4 linked regions of the Caenorhabditis elegans genome follow. The protein of the gene in region 1 interacts with the protein of each later gene in a pairwise test. Each region holds a gene or a part of one and is shown in the gene's direction. Other genes may lie near its edges. The genes, in order: sas-4, chc-1, F49E2.2 and cpg-3.

What was found.
Region 2: the proteins of sas-4 (region 1) and chc-1 interact in a two-hybrid assay, tested with the Caenorhabditis elegans proteins (one large-scale study listed by BioGRID).
Region 3: the proteins of sas-4 (region 1) and F49E2.2 interact in a two-hybrid assay, tested with the Caenorhabditis elegans proteins (one large-scale study listed by BioGRID).
Region 4: the proteins of sas-4 (region 1) and cpg-3 interact in a two-hybrid assay, tested with the Caenorhabditis elegans proteins (one large-scale study listed by BioGRID).

What each region holds. Positions count from the first base shown.
Region 1 is NC_003281.10:8,313,816-8,320,357, reverse strand, and holds sas-4 (Spindle assembly abnormal protein 4), read left to right. Parts: upstream 1-1,769; 5' UTR 1,770-1,776; coding exon 1,777-1,869; intron 1,870-1,917; coding exon 1,918-2,013; intron 2,014-2,093; coding exon 2,094-2,438; intron 2,439-2,554; coding exon 2,555-2,774; intron 2,775-2,816; coding exon 2,817-3,349; intron 3,350-3,525; coding exon 3,526-3,969; intron 3,970-4,239; coding exon 4,240-4,398; intron 4,399-4,444; coding exon 4,445-4,632; intron 4,633-4,680; coding exon 4,681-4,740; intron 4,741-5,493; coding exon 5,494-5,782; 3' UTR 5,783-6,009; downstream 6,010-6,542. Other genes in the region: F10E9.10 (uncharacterized protein), read left to right, coding at 78-158, 209-313, 358-465, 512-628, 673-729; F10E9.11 (rRNA-processing protein FYV7), read left to right, coding at 1,220-1,287, 1,345-1,612; F10E9.2 (uncharacterized protein), read right to left, coding at 6,072-6,287, 6,335-6,459, 6,504-6,542. UniProt on the Caenorhabditis elegans protein: Required for centrosome duplication. Plays a central role in determining centrosome size.
Region 2 is NC_003281.10:10,201,887-10,209,826, forward strand, and holds chc-1 (putative clathrin heavy chain 1), read left to right. Parts: upstream 1-1,934; 5' UTR 1,935-1,985; coding exon 1,986-2,108; intron 2,109-2,155; coding exon 2,156-2,276; intron 2,277-2,327; coding exon 2,328-2,692; intron 2,693-2,738; coding exon 2,739-2,918; intron 2,919-3,026; coding exon 3,027-3,887; intron 3,888-3,931; coding exon 3,932-4,234; intron 4,235-4,281; coding exon 4,282-5,436; intron 5,437-5,482; coding exon 5,483-6,704; intron 6,705-6,756; coding exon 6,757-7,335; intron 7,336-7,383; coding exon 7,384-7,520; 3' UTR 7,521-7,818; downstream 7,819-7,940. Other genes in the region: dbd-12 (DB domain-containing protein), read left to right, coding at 65-160, 217-309, 356-474, 540-642. UniProt on the Caenorhabditis elegans protein: Clathrin is the major protein of the polyhedral coat of coated pits and vesicles. May play a role in yolk protein clatherin-mediated endocytosis by oocytes during oogenesis.
Region 3 is NC_003284.9:9,565,613-9,573,296, forward strand, and holds the start of F49E2.2 (SH3 domain-containing protein), read left to right. Parts: upstream 1-1,683; coding exon 1,684-1,816; intron 1,817-3,170; exon of another isoform or gene 3,171-3,295; intron 3,296-3,423; exon of another isoform or gene 3,424-3,444; intron 3,445-3,766; coding exon 3,767-3,898; intron 3,899-3,938; coding exon 3,939-3,989; intron 3,990-4,625; coding exon 4,626-4,777; intron 4,778-4,829; coding exon 4,830-5,068; intron 5,069-5,151; coding exon 5,152-5,335; intron 5,336-5,377; coding exon 5,378-5,524; intron 5,525-6,467; coding exon 6,468-6,635; intron 6,636-6,706; coding exon 6,707-6,844; intron 6,845-6,894; coding exon 6,895-6,989; intron 6,990-7,033; coding exon 7,034-7,226; intron 7,227-7,684. Other genes in the region: moc-5 (GTP 3',8-cyclase), read right to left, coding at 1-96, 203-367.
Region 4 is NC_003279.8:7,243,080-7,246,629, forward strand, and holds cpg-3 (Chondroitin proteoglycan 3), read left to right. Parts: upstream 1-1,886; 5' UTR 1,887-1,913; coding exon 1,914-1,953; intron 1,954-2,004; coding exon 2,005-2,384; intron 2,385-2,429; coding exon 2,430-2,677; intron 2,678-2,727; coding exon 2,728-2,938; 3' UTR 2,939-3,023; downstream 3,024-3,550. Other genes in the region: dhp-1 (Dihydropyrimidinase 1), read right to left, coding at 1-49, 583-674; R06C7.6 (Protein N-terminal glutamine amidohydrolase), read right to left, coding at 3,062-3,284, 3,333-3,500.

The sequences.
Region 1 (6,542 bases):
CAAGTATCTACCCATTGACATCCTTATTTAACTCATTTCTTCTTTTTTCTTCTTACAATAATAATAATGTGTTCAGGATGGTCACAGTGATACCAAAAATAATAAGTTCTCCATATCCTCGGACACGCCTACCACTGTACCTCTACACTGTTTCCATCGTAAGAATTACCAATCAATAGAAAATTCAAGTTTACACCTATAATTCTAGATTATTTCCTGCTCTTTATTATACTGGAATCTTCTTTACTGCAAAAATTATGACTGTGTCGTTGAGAAGGAATTTCGATGGGGAAGTACTCGGCACTTACTACAGGTATCATACAATTTGGTACCATAAAGAAATGACATAACTTTCAGTACTTTCCGGTGATAGCAGCTCCGATTATAATGGTAATATCGTTTTCTTGGTTAATAATTGCAATATATTATTCAAGTAGTTCATGTGTTCTTACATTCAATTTTATGGTAAGTTTTATAGGAAGGAGGAATAAAATAAATATTGAAATTAAAGGAAATGCCATCTGCAGTACTTTGTTCTCTACTTGGTGGTATTAGTTCTGTAATAGAAATTCATTTTTCCATTGAAGTAAATCAAGTTCAATGGACTGATCAGTGGTTACTGTCATCTGTGGGTTTACCAATCAACGATTGTTTAAAAATCGATATTTTCAGGGATCTTCAATACTTTTATGCCTTTTACATGCTACAATTGCGTTCACACTTCAATAATCCTTCCAACATATTTGAATTTCCAATCTTCTTCAAATCGATGTGAAAAAACTTGTATCATTGTTTTTATCAAATATGAAACATTTTATAGGAATCAAAAATATTATGTGAACTGTGATATTTACTCTTGCTCAATTCATTTCATGTAAATATTATTTTGATACTCATTACTGGCATAAATTATATTTTCGAAATTCATGTCACGAGCGCGGATGATGAGGGACAATTCGAATTAATTCTCTTTTTCTCAACAAAAACAATTAAATTTTGAACCTCCCTCCGTTTTCTTTGAAAATGGCCTAGAATTGTGATGGCCGTGGACTAGCATTTTCCCTAGCACGACGGCGGGAATTGTCTGCGTCATCTTCGTCTTGCACGCTCTCTCGTTACCCCCCGCTGTGGTTATTATACCGTTTACCACCTTAATCCCTTCAAAACGCTTTTATAATTTCACATAATCTCTTCTTAGAAATCTCAATCGTTTATTCAGATGGGAAATCGATCAAAGACAGACAATGCAACTGCCGTGGCATCGCAACCACCCAAAAAAGTTAAATCGTAAGTTTTCTTTCCTATTTTCAAAACTAATATATCTGAAATCATCAACATTTTTAGGAAAAAGCAAAAGAAAATGAGCTTTTCACAAGCACAAGACGTATATCTTCGTCTGAAGCAAGAAAAAGAAGAGGAGAAACAACGAGAGCGAGCCGAACGAGAAAAGCGAAATGAGACGATTGCAGCGACAAATAAATCAAGAAAGAAGATGAATCAGGCATTGGCAAAAAGAAATAAAAAAGGACAACCAAATCTGAATGCTCAAATGGATGTACTTCTCGAGAGGATACAGAAAAGAGTGGATAAGGAGAAAAAGGAGAAGAAATGAACTAATTGTTTTGTCTTTTATATTTTCAGATTTTTTTTGTTGAAATGAAATTGTTGTGTTTTTAAAAATCGATAGTTTTATCGTTTCTTCGTTTCTTACCGATAGTATACTTTATTTTCTGAAATATAATTCAATTATTTATTAAAAACCTTTTCAGCCTTCAGATGGCTTCCGATGAAAATATCGGTGCCGACGGTGAACAGAAGCCTTCTCGGCCGTTTTTGAGAAAAGGACAAGGAACAGCAAGATTTAGAATGGTAGTTTGTGCAAATACAAGGCTTATCGAAATAATATATGAAGTTCAGCCTAGAAACAACAAAACATCTGCTGGTGCACCTCCAACGTCGGAACTTTCATCTGCTTCAAGTCCTTCTATTAATGTTCCTAGGTTTAGTCTGTCGGTAAGTAAAATATCTTAAATACAAACGTTATAAAACTGTGGTGACTAGTTAAATATAAATATTAAGTAGAATTATTCCAGAATGCTCTCCCGAACTCTGCCCGAACCGTGGACAGTGGAATATCAAATGAAGACGAGACCCGTCCACCAACCACCGCATCTCTTCCAATGGATCAACCATCATTGTCATCTTCGCCGGAAAATCGTCTAAATCCCGCACCTTCCGTTGCTGAAGAGCATGGCCACAGTGGACAGCACGCTGAAGAAGAAGAAGACAATGACACGGATGAAGTATCTGCAATGCCTTCTTTTGTGCCTGATGAACCTTCGACTCTTGTTAATTCAGATCATGAATTGTCTGATGATGCTTTAAAGTATAAAAATGCAGCTGCCGAATTCAAAGCTTTTGAGAGAAGAATGGATTCGGTAAGAACAGCCAAATCAGAATGATAATTGAAATTTTACATAGAATAGATTTACGTATCAAAAATCAAAACCTACGAATACTCTCTAATTCAAAATTTAATTAATTAAAATTAAAGATGAGATCAGCTTCAACAATCACAACATCACTGGCAACGCCATCATCTTGTGCACCATCAAACTCCTCTGAGCCTCCTACTCGGTCTACACCAATTATGAACGATTTAGGCGTTGGCCCAAATAATCACAATTGGCCGTCTTCAATGCAAGAATTATCAGGAATTTCTCTGGAAACACCACAGGCTCGACCGCTTGGCAGCAATAGAATTAATCAGCTTGGTAGGTTAATAACAAAAAAAACATGATTGATTAGATTTTTAGTTCGAAGTGAGGCTCAAACGGGAATAAGCCTTTTACAACACCATGAAAGACCTACTGTGACCGCCCCATTGAGACGAAATGATATGATGAACTCATCACGACAGAATCCACAGAATGGAAATGTTCAAGATGAAAATCGACCCGAGCACGTTTATGATCAACCAATACATGTTCCTGGATCATCACTGGACCGACAGAAACTTGAAATTGAAATTCGACGTCATCGTAACTTGAACATACAACTGAGAGACACTATTGCTCACTTGGATTATGCAGAAGAATCCGTGCACACCACAAAACGACAGCTCGAAGAAAAAATTTCCGAAGTCAATAATTTTAAGAAAGAACTGATAGAAGAATTTAAGAAATGCAAAAAAGGAGTTGAGGAAGAATTTGAGAAGAAGTTTGAGAAAATTAAGGAAGATTATGATGAACTTTACGAGAAATTGAAGAGGGATCAACGAGATCTTGAACGAGATCAGAAGATATTGAAGAAAGGAACGGGAGAAAGGAATAAAGAATTCACAGAAACGGTAATTAAGAATTTAAGCAAGAAATAGTTATTCGAGAAAAACCACGAAATTTCGATTGAAAATTTTTCTCAAAGCAAAATCTAAAATTTTCATTGAAATAAATTGAGAATTTAAAAAGTTGAAATTCTATTATAAAACCTTTAATTTAAAATCCAGCAAAACTTGTCAAATTTCAGATAGCCACTCTCCGCGACAAATTAAGAGCATCAGAAACCAAGAATGCACAATATCGACAGGATATACGTGTTCGAGACGAAAAGCTCAAGAAAAAAGACGAGGAAATCGAGAAGCTTCAGAAAGACGGAAACCGGCTAAAGAGCACTCTACAGACTTTAGAAAAGCGCGTAAAACAATTACGTACTGAAAAAGAACGCGACGATAAAGAAAAGGAGATGTTCGCGAAGGTTGCAATGAATCGAAAAACTTCGAATCCAGTGCCACCAGTTTTGAATCAAAGTGTTCCAATTTCGATAACATCAAATGGTCCATCTAGACATCCATCATCATCTTCGTTGACAACATTTAGAAAACCATCTACATCAAATCGAGAAAGAGGTGTTAGTTGGGCAGATGAACCAAATGAACAATCATTGGAAGCTGTACCACAGGAGTTTTTGATGGTAATATTTAGATCAAAGCAGGGTTTTTTTAAAATTGTTTTTAGAATATTGCTCTGAAAAAATCAATTCAAAAAAAATTTCAAATTATTTTTTCTTCCCGACTAAAAAATTAATATTTTTGAAAAATAGTTTTTTAAGTCTAAAAATTTACAGCTTACTATTAGCATTTGCCGAAAGTTCCGATTTTTCAAAATTCCCAGAATTAAAAATCAATAGTTTTCGAGTTACCGAAAATTGTCAAAAAAAAATTTTAAATCATGCTTTTTGAAGATGCCAGTCAAAGAAATGCCGGGAAAATTTGGAAAATGCACGATCTACAGAGATTCTCTTGGAGAAACATCTAAAGTGACGGATACAATAGCTAACGGTCTTCTTTTCGAATATTCCAATGGAGATCTTCGATGGGTTAATCGGCAGAACGCTGTTAATGTAAGTTTTAATTGGAATTTTGTCAATTAAAGTGACCAATTTACAGATCTACATATCCGCAGTTGATAAAACAGTCAGAATTGATCTCCCCACATACAATATTTCAATTATTCATACATTTCAAAGGCAAGTTGAAGTACTTCGTCCTGGAAATAACATAACATTGATAAGTATTAAACGACGAGAAGTTCGAACTGATTTGATTTATCAAAACGGAATGTATAAAACTGAAATGTAAGATTATTTTCTTTTTTAAAGTTCATCGGAAATTTCGTATTTCAGCTTCAATAGGGACGGAAGATATGTTACGAAGGATTTTAGCAATCAAGAAGTTTCGAGAAAGTGAGTCTCTATTCATTTTCCAATTAATTATTCAGAAAAACCATTAAAATCTCAAAACTATTACCCAGATGTTTAATTTAATTTAATTTAATTTATTACGATAGAAGATATCGTTAGGTAGAAAAAAAAACACACACACATTAATAGATACAAACCATCACAAGTGGTTACATAAATAAATTACATAAATAAAACGAAACAAAAATAAAAAAAGAGATGTGACATTTTGCGGCAAAAAATGTCTCGGCACGATAAAATTTAGTTAAATGGGAAAAGGCGTGCGCCTTTAAATATTACTGTAGTTTAAAAATCGCGTTACTGTCGAATTGTTGTTTGCCCCTTTTTTTTTTGATAAAAACATGTTTATTAGTTTAGAAAAAAGATAAATAAACCAAACTACAACAGTCTTTATAGGCGCACGTATTTTCACATTTAAAAATCTGTCCTTTAACGAAAAAATTGTAAAATTTGGCGCCTTCAAAGAGTACTGTAATTTCAAACTCAATTTGAAACAGAATTTTCATCGATTTTCCTTAGTTAGTTTTTCGATGAATTTTAATTTATTCATTAAAAAAACTCAAATAAGTATAACGATATTTTAGCAAATAATATATTTTCAAACAAAACATGTTTCTATAATTTTTGTCTAACCCAAAATTTAGGAATATGACCTCAATTCTTCAAAAAGTTAGTAAAACAGGTTTAAAACCCCGTTATAAATATTTTTGCCTCTGAAACCTATCAAATTTTCAGATACAATCCCGGTACACACACATATCGCGACAATCAATGTCGCTACGTTCTCGTCACTGATTACAACGATTTTGAGCTCGTTGAGCCAGAATTCCGTCTTCGTTGGTATCAGGGAGATCCGACTGGTCTCAACAATCAGTATATTCTCAAGATCATTGGACGACCTGAATGCAGCGAGAAAACATTGAGACTTGAAGTGAATCTTTCCACGTGTGAAGGTACATTGGAAACTGCAGAGATGATAGGCGATAAACGTCGGAAAACAACTTTGTTCCAGTGGAAAAAATGAGAAATTCCAACCCCTTTATTTTAACTTGTGGTTTGTATATCTATTCCATTGACATTATTTTTCACTCCTGAGTGCTCTAAAATTATAATTAATTCTACCTCCTGTAAAATCATATCAAATAATTCAATCATTTTTTACTATCTCAATTTTCACTTGCCCCCTCCCCCATTTCTTTCATATTGATCTTCATGGTTATTTTATTGACTGTTATAAACAATTTTAACTTTAAATGTTCTGCACAAAATTCGGGATTCAGATTGCAAAGATTTATTGGAACACTGGAGACATTTCAAGATGATCTCGGATCTTCTGCACGACTCGACGGACTCAAACTTTGAACATTTTCGTGTGAGATTTTCTTTTCTTTTTCCGCACTTTTCTTCTCTTTCTTCTCCTCACCACTTCCATCTTTCTTCTGATCATCTACATCCAGGAGCAGCATCTTGTGACGTGTAATCTTTAGATCACTGAGACGAGTTTTCGAATCGCCGACTTCAAGAGGAGCCTACAATCATCCTTATCTTTTTATATTCAGAATATCAAAAAACTAACCGGGTCACCTCGACCAGAAAACTCGCCTTCGCCTTCTTCACTCGATGATTTCTGAGTTCTCAGAGTAATCATATGGGTCTTACCGCTGACACCAAGAAGCGTGTAGAGTCGAGCCATCAGATCGTCTGAACGATATAATTGTTTAAAAATCTTAGATTCTTAAGCTTACGATAAGTGGCATCCGTTGGAAGGCTGACAACGACTGGCT
Region 2 (7,940 bases), 1.9 Mb from region 1:
TAGATCATGGGGATTTTACTGTAAAAAAGTCAAACTTTTAAATATATTTCATATCAATTTTCAGAATCCTAACCACTTGTTCCATGTATGCTGTGAGGAACGACAGTTGCCTCCCGCATGTGTTCAGAAATGCCATTTTAATGTTTATAACAAAGGAGTGGTAGGTTTAAATAGGTCAAGTTTATATTGTGAAATTGAATTTCAAAAATTGTATAGCTGGAATCAATGTTCTTTGGTTCAAGTGAATGCCCGATTGAATTCCTGCCAGAAATGCAATTTTGTGCGGCTCAAGGAAAAGATCATAGCCAGGTAAAAGGTCGTTGAAATCTGCTCAATAACTTCTTACTAGTTTCAGTGTTGCTCACAAAGTCAGGTGGATGCAACGACGGCTGGAAGTAAATGTCTAACCTTCTGCGATCAAACACCCGATCTCTACACTCCAATTGATTACAGCTATGCGCCTTGCCTAGACAGGTTTCCATATCTTTTTATCTTCCAATTCTCGAGGCAAAAGTCATGTTGAATTAAATTGGTTGCAGGTTCGAGGACATGAAACGATGCTTCTATGATAATGTGAAGTCGGATGCAATCACACATTTCGAGGCGAAAAAGAGTTTGCAGGATAAGAGTACATCTTATTAATTGTTTTTGATTTTATATTTACTTAACTTGAGATTTCGAAATAAAATGTGCGATTTCGCAATACCCATCACGACATACTTTGTATTTCATTTTCCATTAAAGCGGAACTATTACACATTTGCGAATTTCTGTGGCAATTGCATAAAAAAACCGGTACCGGGTCTCGACACGAAAGATTCTCTTAAATGCAAAAAGTGTGATCTTCGGTCCGTGGAGTACTGTAACTTCCAGCAGGGCTAATACAAGAGAATTTGAACAGAAAACAATACATAACATTTTTATTCAAAAATGCCAAAAAATTATAATACAATTCAATTTTGAAAACAGTTTTTCGTTGTATTTTGGACCAAAAAAATCGGTTTTTTTTTGCGCAACGTTGTTGGATTCTCAACGTGTTTTATCTCAGTTTTTCCTTGAATTTCGGTAAAACAGAACAAAAAATGAAATGTTCAAAAAAAGTGTTCCAAACTACAGTACTCCTTAAAGGCGCGCACACTTTTAAATCAAAGAAAATTGGTCGTGTCGAGACCCCGTACTGTATTTTTTGTGTAAAACTCGAAAAATTTCCGTGTATGAGTGATCTACTGATTGAAATTGAGAAAACAAAGTTTATCCGCAGATCAAATTTGTTTTTTTTTTCTTTTCAATATTTCACGGCAATCATTTCTTAATCCAAACACGTAATTCACTGTCGTAATTGCTGATGACTCATTCATTTCATACGAACGCTTTTCTTTTGTCAATCCTTCGGCCGTACAAACATAAATTTTTCCTTGTGAAATTAAAAACTCCGCCCAAAGCGAAGAAAATTCCCAGAAGAAATTCGGCGGAAAAGCGCGCTCTACCGAGAAGCGGGGCGCGTCGCGTCGCGTGCCCTGTGATGACAGGGCGACTTGTTCAAGCTTGGCAAACAGGAATCATTTCTCTCGATCAACTGGCTTCTGCATGTTTGACAAAGCTCTCTCTTGATAAGACATTTCCGTTCAATTGTTTTATTTTTACGTTTTCCCTCTTTTTAGGTGCGCTATGAGTCCTCAAAAATTTTTCTTTACTCAGCAAAGAGTTCTAACTTTTGGAATTACAATTTTTCCTTCATTTCAAATCATTCACAGTAATAACAGCGGCCAAAGCTAGCTTTAAAGCTGTATATTTTTCCATTTATTCCTTCAATCTACCGATATTCACTTCTATTTCCCGGAAATGTCTCACTTTTGTGATAAATTTTACGTGACTCATCTTTTTATTTTTATCGTGTTCTCTTTTCTTTTTTTTTCAAACATCTCCATTTGCAGGTATATAATTTATTGTAAGAAGTTTTTCCATTCTACACACAGTTTTCAAAGATGGCGCTCCCAATCAAATTTCACGAGCACCTGCAGCTTCCGAATGCTGGAATTCGGGTGCCCAACATTACATTCTCCAATGTCACAATGGAATCTGATAAGAACATTGTTGTTCGTGAGATGGTAGGTCAAATAATCGCAATTAACTGTTCTAAACGGATAATTTCCAGATTGGTGATCAACAACAGGTTGTGATTATTGATTTGGCCGACACAGCGAATCCAACTCGTCGTCCAATTTCTGCTGACTCAGTAATCATGCACCCAACTGCCAAAATTCTTGCTTTGAAATGTTAGTTTTCAGTACCATTTGACTCTGAAGCTTATTTATACCTTTTTTCAGCTGGCAAGACACTTCAAATTTTCAATATTGAGTTGAAAGCAAAAGTGAAAGCTCATCAGAATGTAGAAGATGTAGTTTATTGGAAGTGGATCAGTGAGAAAACGATTGCACTCGTTTCCGACACAGCCGTCTATCATTGGTCGATCGAGGGTGATGCAGCTCCAGTCAAGATGTTCGATAGACATCAGTCGTTGGCCGGAACTCAAATCATAAATTATCGCGCTGATGCCGAAAACAAGTGGCTCGTTCTTATTGGAATTTCCGCAAAAGACTCCCGTGTCGTTGGAAGTATGCAATTGTACAGTACCGAGAGAAAAGTATCGCAGCCAATCGAAGGCCATGCCGCTTGCTTCGTTCGATTCAAGGTAGGACTAATTCGATGATGGATTTGTCATATTAATAATGTTTTAGGTCGATGGAAACCAAAACCCATCTAACTTATTCTGTTTTTCCGTCAAAACCGATAATGGAGGAAAATTGCACGTTATTGAAGTAGGAACCCCAGCTGCTGGAAACACTCCTTTCCAAAAGAAGAATGTTGATGTTCCATATACCGCTGACACAGCTGGCGATTTTCCAGTGTCTATGCAGGTATGTTGCTTATAGTCGTATAAACAAAATTTGATATCTTTCTGATTGATTGTTTATAATTTCAAAAGCTGAATGGTGTTGTTTATAAAATAAATTGTTGGTTTTCAGGTATCTGCGAAGCAAGGAATTATTTACCTGGTAACAAAGCAAGGATATGTTCATCTTTATGATGTCGAGTCTGGAACACGGATTTATTCGAATCGAATTTCGACTGATACCGTATTTGTGACCTGTGAATACACAGCTACAGGAGGAATAATGGGAATTAACAGAAAGGGACAAGTTCTTTCCGTCTCTATCGATGAAGCTAACTTGGTTCCGTTCGTTACGAACCAGCTGCAAAATCCAGATTTGGCTTTGAAGTTGGCCGTGCGTTGTGATCTGCCTGGAGCTGAAGAGTTGTTCGTTCGCAAATTCAACTTGTTGTTCAGCAACGGACAGTTTGGAGAATCAGCCAAGGTTGCTGCATCGGCTCCACAAGGAATTTTGAGAACACCAGCCACCATTCAAAAGTTCCAGCAGTGCCCGTCTACTGGTCCAGGACCATCTCCACTTCTTCAATATTTCGGAATTCTTCTCGATCAAGGAAAGTTGAATAAATACGAAACACTCGAGCTGTGTCGTCCGGTCTTGGCACAAGGAAGAAAGGAGTTGATAACGAAGTGGCTCAATGATCAGAAGTTGGAGTGTTGTGAAGAATTGGGAGATCTCATTAAGCCGCACGATGTGAATACTGCTCTTTCAGTCTATTTGCGTGGAAATGTCCCGCACAAGGTTGTTCAATCTTTTGCTGAAACTGGACAATTCGACAAGATCGTAATGTATGCCAAGCGTGTCGGATTCCAACCAGACTATTTGTTCCAACTTCGTCAAATTCTCCGTAATTCGAATCCTGATCATGGAGCAAAATTCGCTCAACTTCTTGTCTCTGAGAGCGAAAACGGAGAACCACTTGCTGATCTTTCACAGGTAACGAATGAGAATAAGGATTTGGCTAATTTAAACCTTTTCAGATCATTGACTGTTTCATGGAGGTTCAAGCTGTTCAACCATGCACTTCATTCCTTCTCGAAGTTTTGAAGGGTGATAAGCCGGAGGAAGGACATCTGCAAACGAGACTTCTTGAAATGAATCTGCTCGCTGCCCCAGCTGTTGCCGATGCTATTCTAGCCAACAAGATGTTCTCTCACTACGATCGTGCCGCTATCGGACAACTCTGCGAAAAGGCTGGACTTCTTCAAAGAGCTCTCGAACACTTCACTGACCTCTACGACATTAAGCGAACTGTTGTTCACACCCATCTTCTCAAGCCTGATGTGAGTTTCTAATTAGATTTCTAAAATAAATGCTAATTTATTTTCAGTGGCTCGTTGGATATTTCGGAAGCCTTTCTGTTGAAGATTCGGTCGAATGCTTGAAAGCCATGCTCACTCAGAATATCCGACAGAACCTCCAAGTCGTTGTGCAGATTGCATCCAAGTATCATGAACAGCTCGGAGCTGACAAGCTGATTGAGATGTTCGAAAATCACAAGTCATACGAAGGTCTTTTCTACTTCCTTGGTTCGATTGTCAACTTCAGCCAGGACCCAGAAGTTCACTTCAAGTACATTCAAGCTGCCACGCGCACAGGGCAAATTAAAGAGGTTGAGCGTATCTGTAGAGAGTCGCAATGTTATGATGCCGAACGTGTCAAGAATTTCCTTAAGGAAGCCAAGCTCAACGATCAACTTCCTTTGATCATTGTCTGCGATCGTCATAACATGGTTCATGATCTTGTTCTTTACCTGTACAGAAACCAGCTCCAGAAGTACATTGAAGTCTTTGTTCAAAAGGTTAATGCCGCCCGTCTTCCGATCGTTGTTGGTGCTCTTCTAGATGTTGATTGTAGTGAAGATGCTATCAAACAATTGATCATTAACACTCGTGGAAAGTTTGACATTGATGAGCTTGTCGAGGAAGTTGAGAAACGCAATCGTTTGAAGCTTTTGAATCACTGGCTTGAATCGAAAATCCAGGAGGGAGCGACTGATGCTGCTACCCACAATGCGATGGCCAAGATTTACATAGATTCTAACAACAATCCCGAACGATTCTTGAAGGAAAATCCCTACTACGATAGCAAAGTTGTTGGAAAGTACTGCGAAAAGCGTGATCCTCACTACGCCTTCTTGTCATACGAACGCGGACAGTGCGACGCTGAATTGATCAACGTGTGCAACGAGAATTCACTATTCAAGAATCTTGCAAGATATTTGGTGAAGAGAAGAGACTTCACTCTGTGGGAGCAAGTTCTCAACGAAGAGAATGTTCATCGTAGACAGCTGATAGATCAAGTGGTTCAAACTGCTCTTTCCGAAACTCAAGATCCCGAAGACATCTCTGTGACTGTTAAGGCATTCATGGCTGCCGATTTGCCGAACGAACTTATTGAACTTTTGGAAAAGATTGTTCTCGATAACTCTGCATTCTCGGAGCACCGTAATCTTCAAAATCTGCTCATTTTGACTGCAATGAGAGTAAGTTAATTATTTTAGAAAACATATTCGATCAATCCACTTTCAGGCCGATAGAACTCGTGTGATGGAGTACATTCAAAAGCTTGACAACTATGATGCTCCAGATATTGCTAACATTGCTATAACTTCTGAACTCTACGAAGAAGCGTTTGCCATTTTCAAGAAATTCGATGTGAACTCAAGTGCCATCAATGTTCTTATCGAGAACGTGAACAATTTGGATCGTGCTTACGAATTTGCTGAAAAGTGCAACCAGTCAGATGTCTGGGCATCTTTAGCCAAGGCACAGCTCCAACAAAATTTGGTGAAGGAGGCTGTCGATTCGTTTATCAAGGCCGATGATCCAGGAGCGTACATGGAGGTTGTGAACAAATGTTCTCAAACGGAGCACTGGGAAGATCTTGTTCGTTACCTTCAAATGGCTCGCAAGAAGAGTCGTGAGTCATACATCGAAACGGAACTCGTTTTTGCTCTGGCCAAGACTGGTCGTCTCACTGAACTTGAAGAGTTTATCGCTGGACCAAATCACGCTCAAATCGGACAAATTGGAGATCGTTGCTTTGACAATGGAATGTTCGATTCCGCTAAGATCCTTTTCAACAATGTTTCCAACTTCGCCAAACTTTCCGTTACTCTTGTTCGTCTTGGAGAATATCAAGGAGCTGTCGATGCTGCACGCAAAGCCAACAGCACGAAGACATGGAAACAAGTGTGCTTCTCTTGTGTCGAGAATGGAGAGTTCCGGCTTGCCCAGATGTGTGGACTTCACATCGTTGTCCACGCTGATGAGCTTGAGGAATTGATCAACTTCTACCAAGATCGTGGACATTTCGAAGAGCTCATTGCTCTTCTCGAAGCTGCATTGGGTCTTGAACGGGCTCACATGGGAATGTTCACCGAACTCGCGATTTTGTACTCGAAGTATAAGCCAGAGAAGATGCGTGAGCATTTGGAATTGTTCTGGAGCCGTGTTAATATTCCAAAAGTTCTTCGTGCTGCCGAGCAGGCTCATCTTTGGTCCGAGTTGGTGTTCTTGTACGATAAATACGAAGAATATGATAACGCCGCACTGACAATGATGCAGCATCCAACTGAATCTTGGAGAGAGCAACATTTCAAGGAAGTCATCGCTAAAGTCGCTAATGTTGAGCTATACTACAAAGCAATGCAGTTCTACCTGGATTATAAGCCACTTCTCCTGAATGACCTTCTTACTGTGCTATCGCCTCGGTTGGATCATTCGCGCACAGTTTTGTTCTTCAATAAGCGTAAGTTTAAATTTCGTTTAGTTTTTAAACTTTTAATAACAATAATTTTCAGTGAAGCAAATCCCACTGGTCAAGCCTTACTTGAGACAAGTTCAAAACTTGAACAACAAGGCTATCAACGAGGCTTTGAATCAGTTGCTCATTGATGAGGAGGATCACGCCGGGCTTCGTTCTTCTATTGAGGCTCAAGACAACTTTGACAATATCACTTTGGCCCAACAACTTGAGAAGCACCCACTTGTGGAATTCAGAAGAATTTCCGCATACTTGTTCAAGGGAAACAACAGATGGAAGCAATCGATCGAGCTTTGCAAAAAAGACAAGCTGTACAAGGATGCCATGGAATACGCTGCAGAATCGAGAAACGGAGAACTCGCCGAAGAGCTCTTGTCATTCTTCCTGGATGAGAAACTTTATGATTGTTTTGCCGCCTCCCTTTACCATTGTTATGATCTCCTTCACCCCGATGTCATCATGGAGCTCGCTTGGAAGCATAAGATTATGGATTACGCCATGCCTTACATGATCCAAGTTATGAGAGATTATCAGACGAGACTTGAGAAGTTGGAGCGTTCTGAGCATGAGAGGAAAGAGGAGAAGGCTGAGCAGCAACAAAACAATGGAATGACCAGTGAGTTTTAACAAATATTTAGAATTTAAATTTATTTGATATTTTCAGTGGAACCACAACTTATGCTTACCTATGGTGCCCCTGCCCCACAAATGACTTATCCAGGAACAACTGGTGGCTATGGCGGACAGCCTGCTTACGGTCAACCTGGACAACCAGGATATAATGCCCCTGGATTTATGTAATTCGATAGTTTTATCCCCATTTTCTTACCCCCACCCCCTCACTTTCTCCCCGCATCAATAATTATATTGTAATTTATTGCTTGATGTCTATACACTTTTTTTGTTTAAATTATGATATTCTATTTCTATTTATTCCGTCCCCTATGAAATTGTGATGGTTGTATTCTAATCCGTGAACTTATCCTTAAGGTTGTTGGTCCGATGTGTCGTCTCTCTCAGTTCTGCCCGTTTTCAAAAAAAAGTTGATCACAACTCTTTTAAACCACCAGAACCATCATGAATAAATTAATTCGTTGTTACCAATCGCGTTCGAGTTTCGGATGAAATACTGGTTCAGTCCATCATCATAACATTTTAGTTTTACGATTTTAACTTTTTGTATTATTCACTAGCTGAATTTTTTAAATTGAGATCTAGAAT
Region 3 (7,684 bases), on another chromosome or scaffold:
ACGGAAGTTGCATTTTTCCGTTAGCGATATCCTCAAATAAGTGTGCTCTCTCATAAACATGTCAAAAAATGGTGGCTGGCCTTTTGTGTGTTCAATCTGAAATTGAACGATGAACGACAAGTGAACTTTCAGAATTTTCTTATATTTTCTTATCTCTTTCTCTGATTTCTGAAGCTCATTTGCACAATATGTTTAAGAATACCTCTTGAATTTTTAGTCTGACTGCTTCTCTTTTTTGTTCGGGCGTCAACGTGAGTATTGGTTCGGCATGTTCTCGTAATGGAACAGTTAGTTGTTTTACAATTTCTTCTGTTGACGACTTGACCCGTGACCATTGAAATAACTTTTTTCCTGCTCGACAACTCATCTGTAATATTTATATCAAAACACTTTTAAAAATGCGGTGCGATTAATTTATTGATTAGGAATTGAGAAAAAAAACAAAACCTAGAGAAAAGGTGTAAAGTAAACTCCAAGCAGCACATTGTGGCTCTCACGCTCAAACATAAATCGTGGGCGTTGAAACCATAGAAAATGCAAAACGGAACAACGGGAATGTTTTGTCATCATACAGGTTGATGGGCACTCTACTCTGCATTGGTGATTTGCAATTCAATTCCGAAAAGTGATTTTTGTGTCGACGAAGGAGAAAACGAACGTGTTGCAGAGAACAAAAAGAAAAAGAGGGATAGAGGCTCAGGAATTTTGGACTTTATATATCAGGAAATGTATTTTTAATGAAAATGAAATATCATGATTCGGTCTAACGATTTGAAAAACTCAGTAACTTTTGAATGTCAATAAAAAATTTTTATTCCAGCTGTTGAAAAGTGTTACTATTCTATTTGATCATTTTGGCATTTTATGGATAATTTTTAACAATTTTCTTACTGTCGCTACTCCACCTTAATTAATTTCTGATGCAAGTTATTAATTTCTGATGCAAGTTATCAATGTCTGATTTTCAAATGGTTCGTGAAAATAAATCGAGGTTTTATCATTATCTTTTAATCAATATGATTCTGACGCTAGAAACACAATATTTCTGGAAGAGACAACAACATTGTTTGTCAAAAGATAAACAAGCGAATATATTTCAGAACATTTGTGTGCTCTTGACTATCATTTCCTCATAGTTTCTAAATCAGAAGGAGTGTTGCCATTATGAGTAAGTTAAATACCGTGTCCCAAAAATATAGTGTACTCATAAACCCCTTTTTTTAAAGTTGTCACGTCCTCCAAGTGTCCCATCTTCCAAACATCTCTATTTCTCTCTGTCTTTCTTTCTGACGTGTCTTTTTAACTCTTTTGGTGACCCCTGTAATTTGTACATTGTATAATAAAGCATAGACTATTTGAGACAGAGAGAGCGATGTGAAAAGGGCACTTGATACAACGTAAAAAAAATTGTTACAGCTGGCATCTTCAATCTGGGCGCTCGACGATCTTCGCTGATTGGGATGAAACTATGGAGATGGAGAGGTGAGGATTTTTGGGGTAAAAATATTCAATCAATTTAAGTGACTCATACAAACACAAAAAAATCATGTTATCAAAATCCATTCAATAATAAAATTGCAAAAAATAAATACGGAATGTTCCAATCTGCCTCCCTCATTCCCATCCCATTCCATTCTTTTGTTCTGTTTGTCCTGGTTTTCATCGAAATATTGATAAACTCCAATGGAATCTGCAACTGACGAGTTTTACTACCAATCTCGCATTCCACCACAGCCATCCCCTTTACCAGCTCAAACTCTTGAAATTAACGGTCACAAATATGTTCTCAATCATCGTTTCAAGAGTATCAAGATTGGTAAGTATGGTTATACGTCCGAGTGATTGGCAAACGACCTCGGGATACATACGTTTTGTTAGCCGGATAGTTACGACGTGTTTTTTTGGAGGGAGAAGACGAACGGAATAGAAAACTTAGACATTAGTCATGCTTGTCAGTTGTGTCGCGCGTCTCTTTGTGCCAAAAAACTTCGCCACATGTTAAAAGGTTGGTCAACTTTTGTTTGTATCGAGGGAAATACTGAACTTAAATGCAACATTAATATTTTCATAGAATAAAATGTAAGTATTAGTTTCAAAAAGTTACATTTTAAAGCTTTATAATTTGCAGCTCAATTTATATTTTCAAATATCTCTGAGAAGCATGTGAAAATATAACTTTCATTTTGAGGTGTTCGTAACATTATATAAGTTCTCGTCTTCTGAACACTACCTAGAAATTTAATATATTGTTGGAATTGGAGTTGGAAATGTTGGAAATCATGTGGGGATGCCCGAATGTAGGTGTCCCTGTAAGACAAAACTAGGCAAATCAATAAACACGATTTTTTAAGTGATAATGTGTATGTATTGTAGCTTTTACTTGTGAATTAATTTCATAAGCAACTTAACTTAACTGTGCTAGTGGTATTTTTTGTTTAGTTACATTTTCCTAACAATGATACACTTATTTTGATTGAGCAAGATGCTCAACATATTTCTACTGTCTTTGATGTTTCACATGTATAACGCAAATTTTGAACATACATGTTCAAAAAATCATTATTTACTCACTTATTAACAACATTGGTATGACAATGTAATTTAAATTGCGGTATATTAAATCAATAATTTTTTATGGTTTAAAATAAGTTTTGAGTTTTGACTACTTCTCTAAATTTTGAATAAATTACAAAACGAGTTACTTGTAAAGATGCCGATCAACTTTTGTAGCACAATAATTAAAGTTGTCCTGTACTTTATTCATAGCTTTATTTAATTCTAAACAAATTTTATTTTACTTCACGGGTCAGTGTTCAGAATTGAAACAATTAAAACAAACTAGAGTTCAATGTTTTACTAATAACACTCACTATCAGGTTTCTTTACAAGCTTAAACGATGCGTTTTTTATATTTTTATATTATTTAATTTCAAATTATTCAAATGTTGTTCAAAAAGTTGCATACGGCTTGTCATTTTTTTTTGTCAGATGTCACCATTCTCTGTTGTCACGCTCTTAAAATTGATAGTGTCAAAATGTCAACAGTATTTCTTCACACAATCAGAATAGTCGCTTCAGAATGGCACAAAAACTTAAAGTAGGCGGCGATTTTTGGTTTTGTTTCACACTCTCCCAATCTGCCAGGTTTCTCGCCGCTTGGCGCCGATGCCCGGGTAATGTACATAATCAAACGCACGCAGCATACCAAAGTCGGGGCTCTTATCACTTGCACAACGCTTTTTCAATAGGTGCCTGCCGCACTGCGTCGTTTCATGAACTTGGTTGTACGCTCGCCTCATTTTCTTATAGAGTGTACACTGTTTTAGGCGTTTTGCCGGCATAATGGCCATTATTTTACTCCAAAAATGAAATATTTTTTGTTTCATTCCTTTCTTATGACACATGTTGCGGTGATAACCATAATCGTTATGATGGAAAGTGGAATTCAGGAATGTTGGCAAACAAAATGACTTTATAACACTATTTCTTCAAAAAATATAGATATTTGTGTTTTATTGATTTAGGTTCACCGTCTTAGGGTTTTTTTAAGTTCTATAACTTGTTTAGTTGTATATTTTTTATAATATTTAGTGTCGCATGCCTTTAGCAATTAACAATATCAATAAAGAAAGTTTCTCGGATGGCAAAAGCGTTATCTACAACAGACCAACCCTGCCCATAAAATATTATAAAACTTTTCCCGCAAAAGTAGTGCATTACTTATGAAAATTGAATGTCAAACAGTTTGCAAAAAGTTGGTTTTCAGTCTCTCATCGGTATCCACCAATCATCCCGATGTCGGTCGACGAACAAGCGGTACCACCGGAGGTTTCGCCTTCAATGGCTGCCAACATTCCACAGATGGTCCACGATCAGCTAGCCGCACAGTTTTTGCCAGGTACCTCTTGTTTAGGTTAACATACACAACAAAATTTCAGCGGCAAAAAATCTTGGGCAAGCCGGAATGCATCTACTGAAAACATATTACAGTAAGTATTTTTGATCAGAAAACAATAAGTTCTCTTACACAGTATTCTTTCTATGCTTTTGTTGTATTTTAAAAAACCTGAGAATGCCTAAATTGTGGCTCGAAAATAGCGGCAACAGGGAAAACAATCGGCGAAGAAAGATATAGGTTCCTTCGCTACGAGATATTCCCGCGCCAAAACGGTAGGCACTCTCATGATCTCATGGTTTCTTAATATTGTAAGAGATGAGAAGTAAAAAAAATTAGAAAACGTTACTGCAAAAAGTTGGCAAATATACGTTGAAAGTATTATAGTTATCATGGTCGGGACGGTTTGTAACAATGGCTCAATAATGTGAATAAAATATACTCAGCTCATCCCATTTCTGTGTTAATAATTTGTTTATAACTCAATTCAGTTTGTATCGCAACACATGAAAACATGTGTAGTTGAAAGACGCATTCATAGAACTCGAGTTTTATATTTTCATAGTTTGTGCCTAAAAATTCAATGACAAAAACTATATTTTTTGTGAGAGTGGAAATTGAAACATTTTCGTTTGCAATCCATATCAATGTAGGTCAAGAAAAATAGCTTTTCAATAATCACATCAAGTTTTCAAGATGACAAGAGTATATAAAAATTTGCAATTTTCAGTGTTCCAAGAAGCATTGTCAAACTATTGTGATGCCACTCACAAACTTATCAAATCAGCTGATACTGCTGGACACAAATCGAAAAATGAAGCTCGAGAGCTTTCAAAAGTTTTTAAAGAGTTTGTACAGGGAGTAAATGCTCATCAAAAAGTCGTAAGCATCAATCTAAAGAAAAGTTTCGCATTCAATATATAATTAAACATAGATTACGGAATTTGACGCGCTGGCACACAAAGTTCATGACTATAGCAACAAGGAAAAAGACAAGCTGAAGACAGAATTTGCTGAGTACAAAGCAAAAGAAAAAAAACTTCTGAAACGCAAAAATGGAGAAACTGAACAAGATATTACCGCGTTCCATAAAAAAGAAGCAGCCAGCTGGGCAAAACAACAGGAAATGAGATACAAATTTTTCAATGACAAGCTGCAATCCTGGATTCACGGGTGAGTTAAATGTAATTAGAATTGTGAAAATAGCAACATTAATTCAATTTCTGGAAAAAAAAACTCTCATAAAATATTATCAGATACGTCGAAATTGGGAAATTATTCCAAGCCCAAGAAGTGATTGTTCAGCCAGCAGTTGGGAGTGTGATCGCTGCACCGGTTGAAATTGAGACCATACCAGAAGACCACAAAGATTGGCATCAAGATTTACATGAGCATGCCGCCGTTGTTGCAGCTGAGGAAATTAAAGAGAATGTTGAAAAGGTAAAACACAATTTAATGCGTGTATATCATATTAAATTTCAGAAAGTAGATGAAGCTGTACAGGACAGCCGCAGCAATTCGACTTCATCGGTTGCAACAACGCTAGAGGATCTTCCATCTTCTCGTCGTCTCACAAATGACGTTTCCGGAGTCACACTGGTTAGTAATTATCGCCGTCAATCAATTGAGGTTAGTTGAGGACTAATATGTCATGTGAAGAAATGTTTCAAAGTTGTTATAAGTCAATATTGTGTATAAACAATAGGTCATAGTTACATTAAATCACGTACATAAAACTTATAATACATACGTTTCATTTTGTATTAAAAAAAAAGAACACTCACATTTTCAAAGTTTATTACTATGTGTAAGCCATCGGACTAGTTGTAGGATACTTAAAATTTGAACTGTTGAAGCAAGGAGGTATTCAAAATTTCTCCTATTTTGAAAAATTCGCATCTGCAATAACACTATTTTTTAATGTTTGTATAATGTCCGCATGTGCTATTAAATTATCTAGGATAAAAATCAATAAAAAACGCAACATTTTGAATTTTAATTTAGATTAAAATCAGTTTATTTATTCATAGTTAAGCCTGCATGAACTTTCAATCAGCAACACAGTGTTTTCAAAATTTAACAATAGAATTCAAAAATGTTTGTAAACATCGAAGCAAAAGTCTTTAATCGAAAAAAGAAATATTAGCATCGTTTTGTCAATTAGATTTTATTGAGTTTTCACTTTGGTTTTGAAATCTTGGCAATCTTTCTATCACGTTTTAGAAATGTTACGCGAATTTTAAAAGGCTGACTGAAGAACAACTATTTTCACGTGTTACATAATTATCAAAATTTTTTCGTAACAACTTCACGTGTTTGTTTAATGGTAGAATAGCGACGTATGAATAGTTGCTCTATTTGACTCAAAATTACCTCACATAACATTACTATATTTTATTTAATCTTTCACATAAAGTTTTTATCAAAGATTTGAACTGCAGTAAAAACATTTCATATTCTTATTATGTATTCACAACGTGCCCCGAATTAAAATACCATGCATTGGTTTTTACAAACAGTAAATGCAACTGGTTTATTTCGAAGAAAAATTTAATTGCCGTATTAATTTCAGATTCAACAACTTCCACCCAACAACAGCTACTCCCACATTGCTCCACCAGTCTTGCCGCCAAAACCAGTTGTCGAAAACCCCCAATATGCTCCGATTCGCGCTCAACCAGTTCCAGTCACACGCCAGGAGGAGAGCACATACGCCCCTCGTCATAATGTTGTCGCCGAGGTAAGCATCTGGTGTAATCATCTTTTCACTCGCTATTATTTGTCCATTTTGATAAAACTATGCGTTTCCAGCAAGTGCCTCAACAGCCGGTTAATAGCGCTCCAGGTGGTGTCCGCCGTGCTGGAAACACAATTCCAGGTGCTGTTAATGTTTTCGGATTTGCAAATCAATCAAATCCTCAGCCAAATGTCCGCTACACGCCTGTTCAGGTAAAAACTATTCGTGTAATTTTCAATTTTCAAGTGTGATAATCCTTCAGAATAGCACGCCTTATCAAGTTGTTACCAGCGATTATATTCGCGTTGGGAGAGTCGTCGATAATCCAGTGACAGAGGAGCAAATGAATGCTAAAAAGTGAGTACTCACAAGAAATTTGAAAAAAAGAACGACATATTCAGATTCCACGTGGATTCTAGTTACCTTCCAATGGCTGCTCCATCTCACCAAGCACAACAACACAGTCGCAATCATAGTACAGATATTTCGGTTCCATCATTCTTCAACCCATCACAATATGGAAGTATTCTGATTGTTAACGATGATTTCAATGCTTCTTCCGGAGAACAGATGACTGTGAATCGTGGAGACAAGGTACCAAAAACTTTCTAAATAATTTTGAAAAATTAAACTAAAACTTGTTACTTTTTGTGACGTCAAGAAGAAAACAAAAAGAATATAAAACTTTCAAGCAAAACGGCAAACCGATAAAATTTCTAACAACAGACCGGTGCCCTAAAAAAGTGGTAACATTTGCCTGTATCAATATTTTAATTTGACACTATTATAGGATTTGAAAGCCTACATGAGTAGAGTTTCATGAATGTTTTTTTTAATCAAAATCAATTTAAGGTTATTAATTTTTTATCAAAAAAATCTTAGCATTGGTTCGAGATATTTAATTTATGGAATTCGTTTTTACATTCAAACAAGTCCTTACTGAACATTTGTCTAACAGGCTCTTTGTAATATTTAGTATTGAATTAGAGAATACTTGCAAAACATAGTGTAGTTGAAAACTATGTTGATGTTGTTCTTTGTTAGATATTTTG
Region 4 (3,550 bases), on another chromosome or scaffold:
ATCAATTACTTCTGTATCTGGTAGAGCAGTTATATTTGGAGATACTTCTCTGAAATCGTTTTTTTTTTCAAAAATTATTTGGTAGAATCAACTTATTGGCGGATTTCGATTGGGGGGTTTTTTTTTAAATTAAGACCTCTACTAACTAACTTATGTCTCAAATGTTTAGTATATTGCCAAATATTCAAAAAGAAATTGGGGTTTTCACAAGAAATTTGTAGCAAAGAGCAAACGTCTACAGTGTTCTGAAACAAATAATTAAATCATAATTGAAATTAAAAATCGTAGAACACTTTTCAGTTGAATACCAAAATTATGATAGATGAAAACTTAGATATTAGAAAGAAATTGATACTTTTTTAGATTAAAAATTCAAGAATAGTTTCTAAAAAATGTTGAAAAGTTTTCCTATTTGAGCGTTATAGGAATAATCATTTTCCTCAGAGGCGCAAATCCATCTTCAAGAAAGAGATACCTAGATAAACTGAATTACAGTATATTTATTTTATCACTATCACCTAATTAATTTAACTACTTAACTTAACTACAGTTTTTACACGCATTCTTCTTGTTTGAACTTACACAATAATTCCATTTCTAACAAGAACATCAGCTTTAAACATTCCATCTTCATTGACGACAGTTCCATTCTTGATAACAAGTGGTGGGGACATTTCCGAATCTCTTAAATTAGACAAAAAATGAATTTTCTTGACGAAACACAAAAAACTTTGAAAATGAAAAAAGAAATCTTGATTTTGGGTGGAAGGAGGAGACTGATTGATAATAATAGTTGTGATAAGAAAGATAAAAGAAGAAGACGTACCCGGGGCGTGTGATGATAACGTACCCAGATTGATATAGACGATGTTAAAATCACGTTTCTTTAATCGGAAGTGAGAAGAAACCATATGGCATGATTGAAGATGGTACGGTTAGTCTGTCCAGTTTTTGTTCAAAGTTTTAGAAATTATTTGGTAAATTAGACTAATTGACAAACAACAACTGAAATATTCGCCGATTGTGATGACTTGTTGAGAAAGATGTGTGATCAACGTGCTGGAGTCTTCACAATGAGCATGTTCTACACATATGCCATCCGTGCCGCTCTTTTCTATTTAAAGCTTAAGCTTCAATGTCTGAACGAGAATGGAAATGAGGATGCTCTGACAAAGGTCCCTTTCCTGACAAAGAAAACTAAATAGCTCTGTATTTCAATTTTTCTTTCCTACAAAGAATCTTTTACTGTCTCGATTGTTTATTGAAAGCATCCGTTGCACTTCAAACTCAATACTTCAAAATTCGTGAAATTTGAAGTATTAACTTTGAAGTTGTAATTAAACCTTTCCACTCCCAAATCCAAGATAATCGTTTTCAAAAGAAAATTTTATTCAAGGTAGAATTATATATGAAAATATCCCCTTTTTGGTCTCGCCACGAGTTTCTTCAAATTTCAAATGAAGCCTGCTAGACAGTCTGCGCCTTTAAGAAGTACCGTAGTTTCCATGGATCGTTGTTTCGCAATTGTTATGGCTTATTTTCCCGTTTTTTCTTTATTCTTCATAACTTCATGGTATTTTTTAACACAATTAGTTGACCAAAAATAAAGAAAAAACGAGAAAAAATAGATTCAACATGAACTGAATAAATATTTAAATTTAAATTAATTTTCACCGTTTCATCTTCACAGTATGAAATTCTAGAATTCGAATACTATGTTTAAAAATTATTTCGGAACGTATTTTTTATTTCTATGTAGAAAATACCGTACTAGACCTGTATGACTAACAAATTTCTTACTAATTTTCAGTTTGATCTACCCCGCTTAATGAGCGAATTTTGGTTGTTATTGTTTTCAATGATTTCGATTTTTACTTCACAATCGCATTCCAACAAATCAGTCTTCACTAAAGATGCGTTTTGTGTTCATCATTGCTTTGCTGCTCATTGGAGGTTTGTTTTTCACTTGTATTTTGAAATTAAATTAATTGTAACAAATTGCAGCATCTCTCGCTCACCCAGCCGATCCGATCCGTGCCAAACGTGATGTTTCCGCCAGTGAAGATGAGTTCAGCGGAGATTCATCTGGAGAAATTTCTGGCGAGAGTTCTGGTGAAGCATCTGGTGAAGCCTCGGGAGAAGCATCTGGTGAAGCCTCGGGAGAAGCATCTGGCGAATCATCTGGTGAAACTTCCGGCGAGAGTTCAGGAGATGAGGAAACTTCCGGCGAAGGATCTGGTGAAGAAGGATCCGGTGATACATCACCAGTCGTTCCTGTCGACGAACTCACTCTTCAACAGTTGGAGACACTCAACACGTATGCTCAACAAGTTCAAGCTGAATCACAGAAGCTCATTCACCAAGCTAACTTCGTCATCACTGAGGTTAGTTTCTCGACCCCTTTTAATTCAATATTTTAAATCTTTCAGATGACTGCTCTCTCTGCTAACGCTCAAAACCTCGGAATCCTCTCGAACATCGTGCTTGCCAACTCTCAGATGGTTCTCGACAGTGCTCGTCTTTCACTCAATGAAACTGAAACCGAAACCGGAACATCTGCACCAGCTACTTGCGTCTCATCTGCTGTCTGCTATGGAGATTCTGGATGTGGAAGTGGAAAATGCATTGGAGCTCTTGCCGGAACTTGCAACTGTAACTCCTGTGTCTTTGGATGGCCGTAAGTTTTCAATTTATTTCGCAGCAGATTTTAAAATATTATTATTTCAGATGCCAAGAGGACAGTGCTTGCGGAGGATTCAACGGTGCTTGCAACAGCATTACCGCTACTTGCGATTGTTTTGCTGCCTACACCAAGAACAATCTCACTCTGGCCGAAGCCCTCACTTCGTTCTGCAACGTGGAGACGTGCAATGGAGCCGAAGACAATGTCGAGAAGTGCCACGGATTGCCATGCAACTATGGATTCTGTGTTTGCTAATTGACCCCATCTTATCGGCTTTTTTTTATTTTGCCCAAATATATTGCACACAAGTTTACGGAATGAATAAAAATTTCATGATTCTAATTAACTTCAACATTTGAAATGAAAAAAATCAAAAAATCACTTGGAAAATAATTGGAACAGTTCTGGTTCGTCCATAACCGTCGTGTTCTCGATTTGTTCTGACATTCGGATCAGTTCCATCAAATTCGATGGTTTATGAGAATTTATTAATGGCCATTCAGGAGGTGGCTTTAGGTATACTCCATTCTTCGAAAGCATATGAGATCGATCAGATGAGAGCAAGGATATGTAGTTTTCTCCTGGAATTACACGAAATTTTCTGAAAATAATTATTCAAACTGAAGAAAAAGTGTTAAAGTGTAGCAACCTTCTGAATTTAGTGTCACGCTGAGCCATTTCTGCGAGATTCATAGTTTTTTCCCAATATTCTAAGAAATCACAACTCCATTCGAGTGTAGAATCCAAATCGTAGACTTTTGACCCGTTTTTTTCCTTTTCAATAGCAATGACGTGATAATCCCAGAGAACATGACCACTGTAAAAATAAATTATGAAATCATGAAAATTCTTTGATTTTTATTTTAT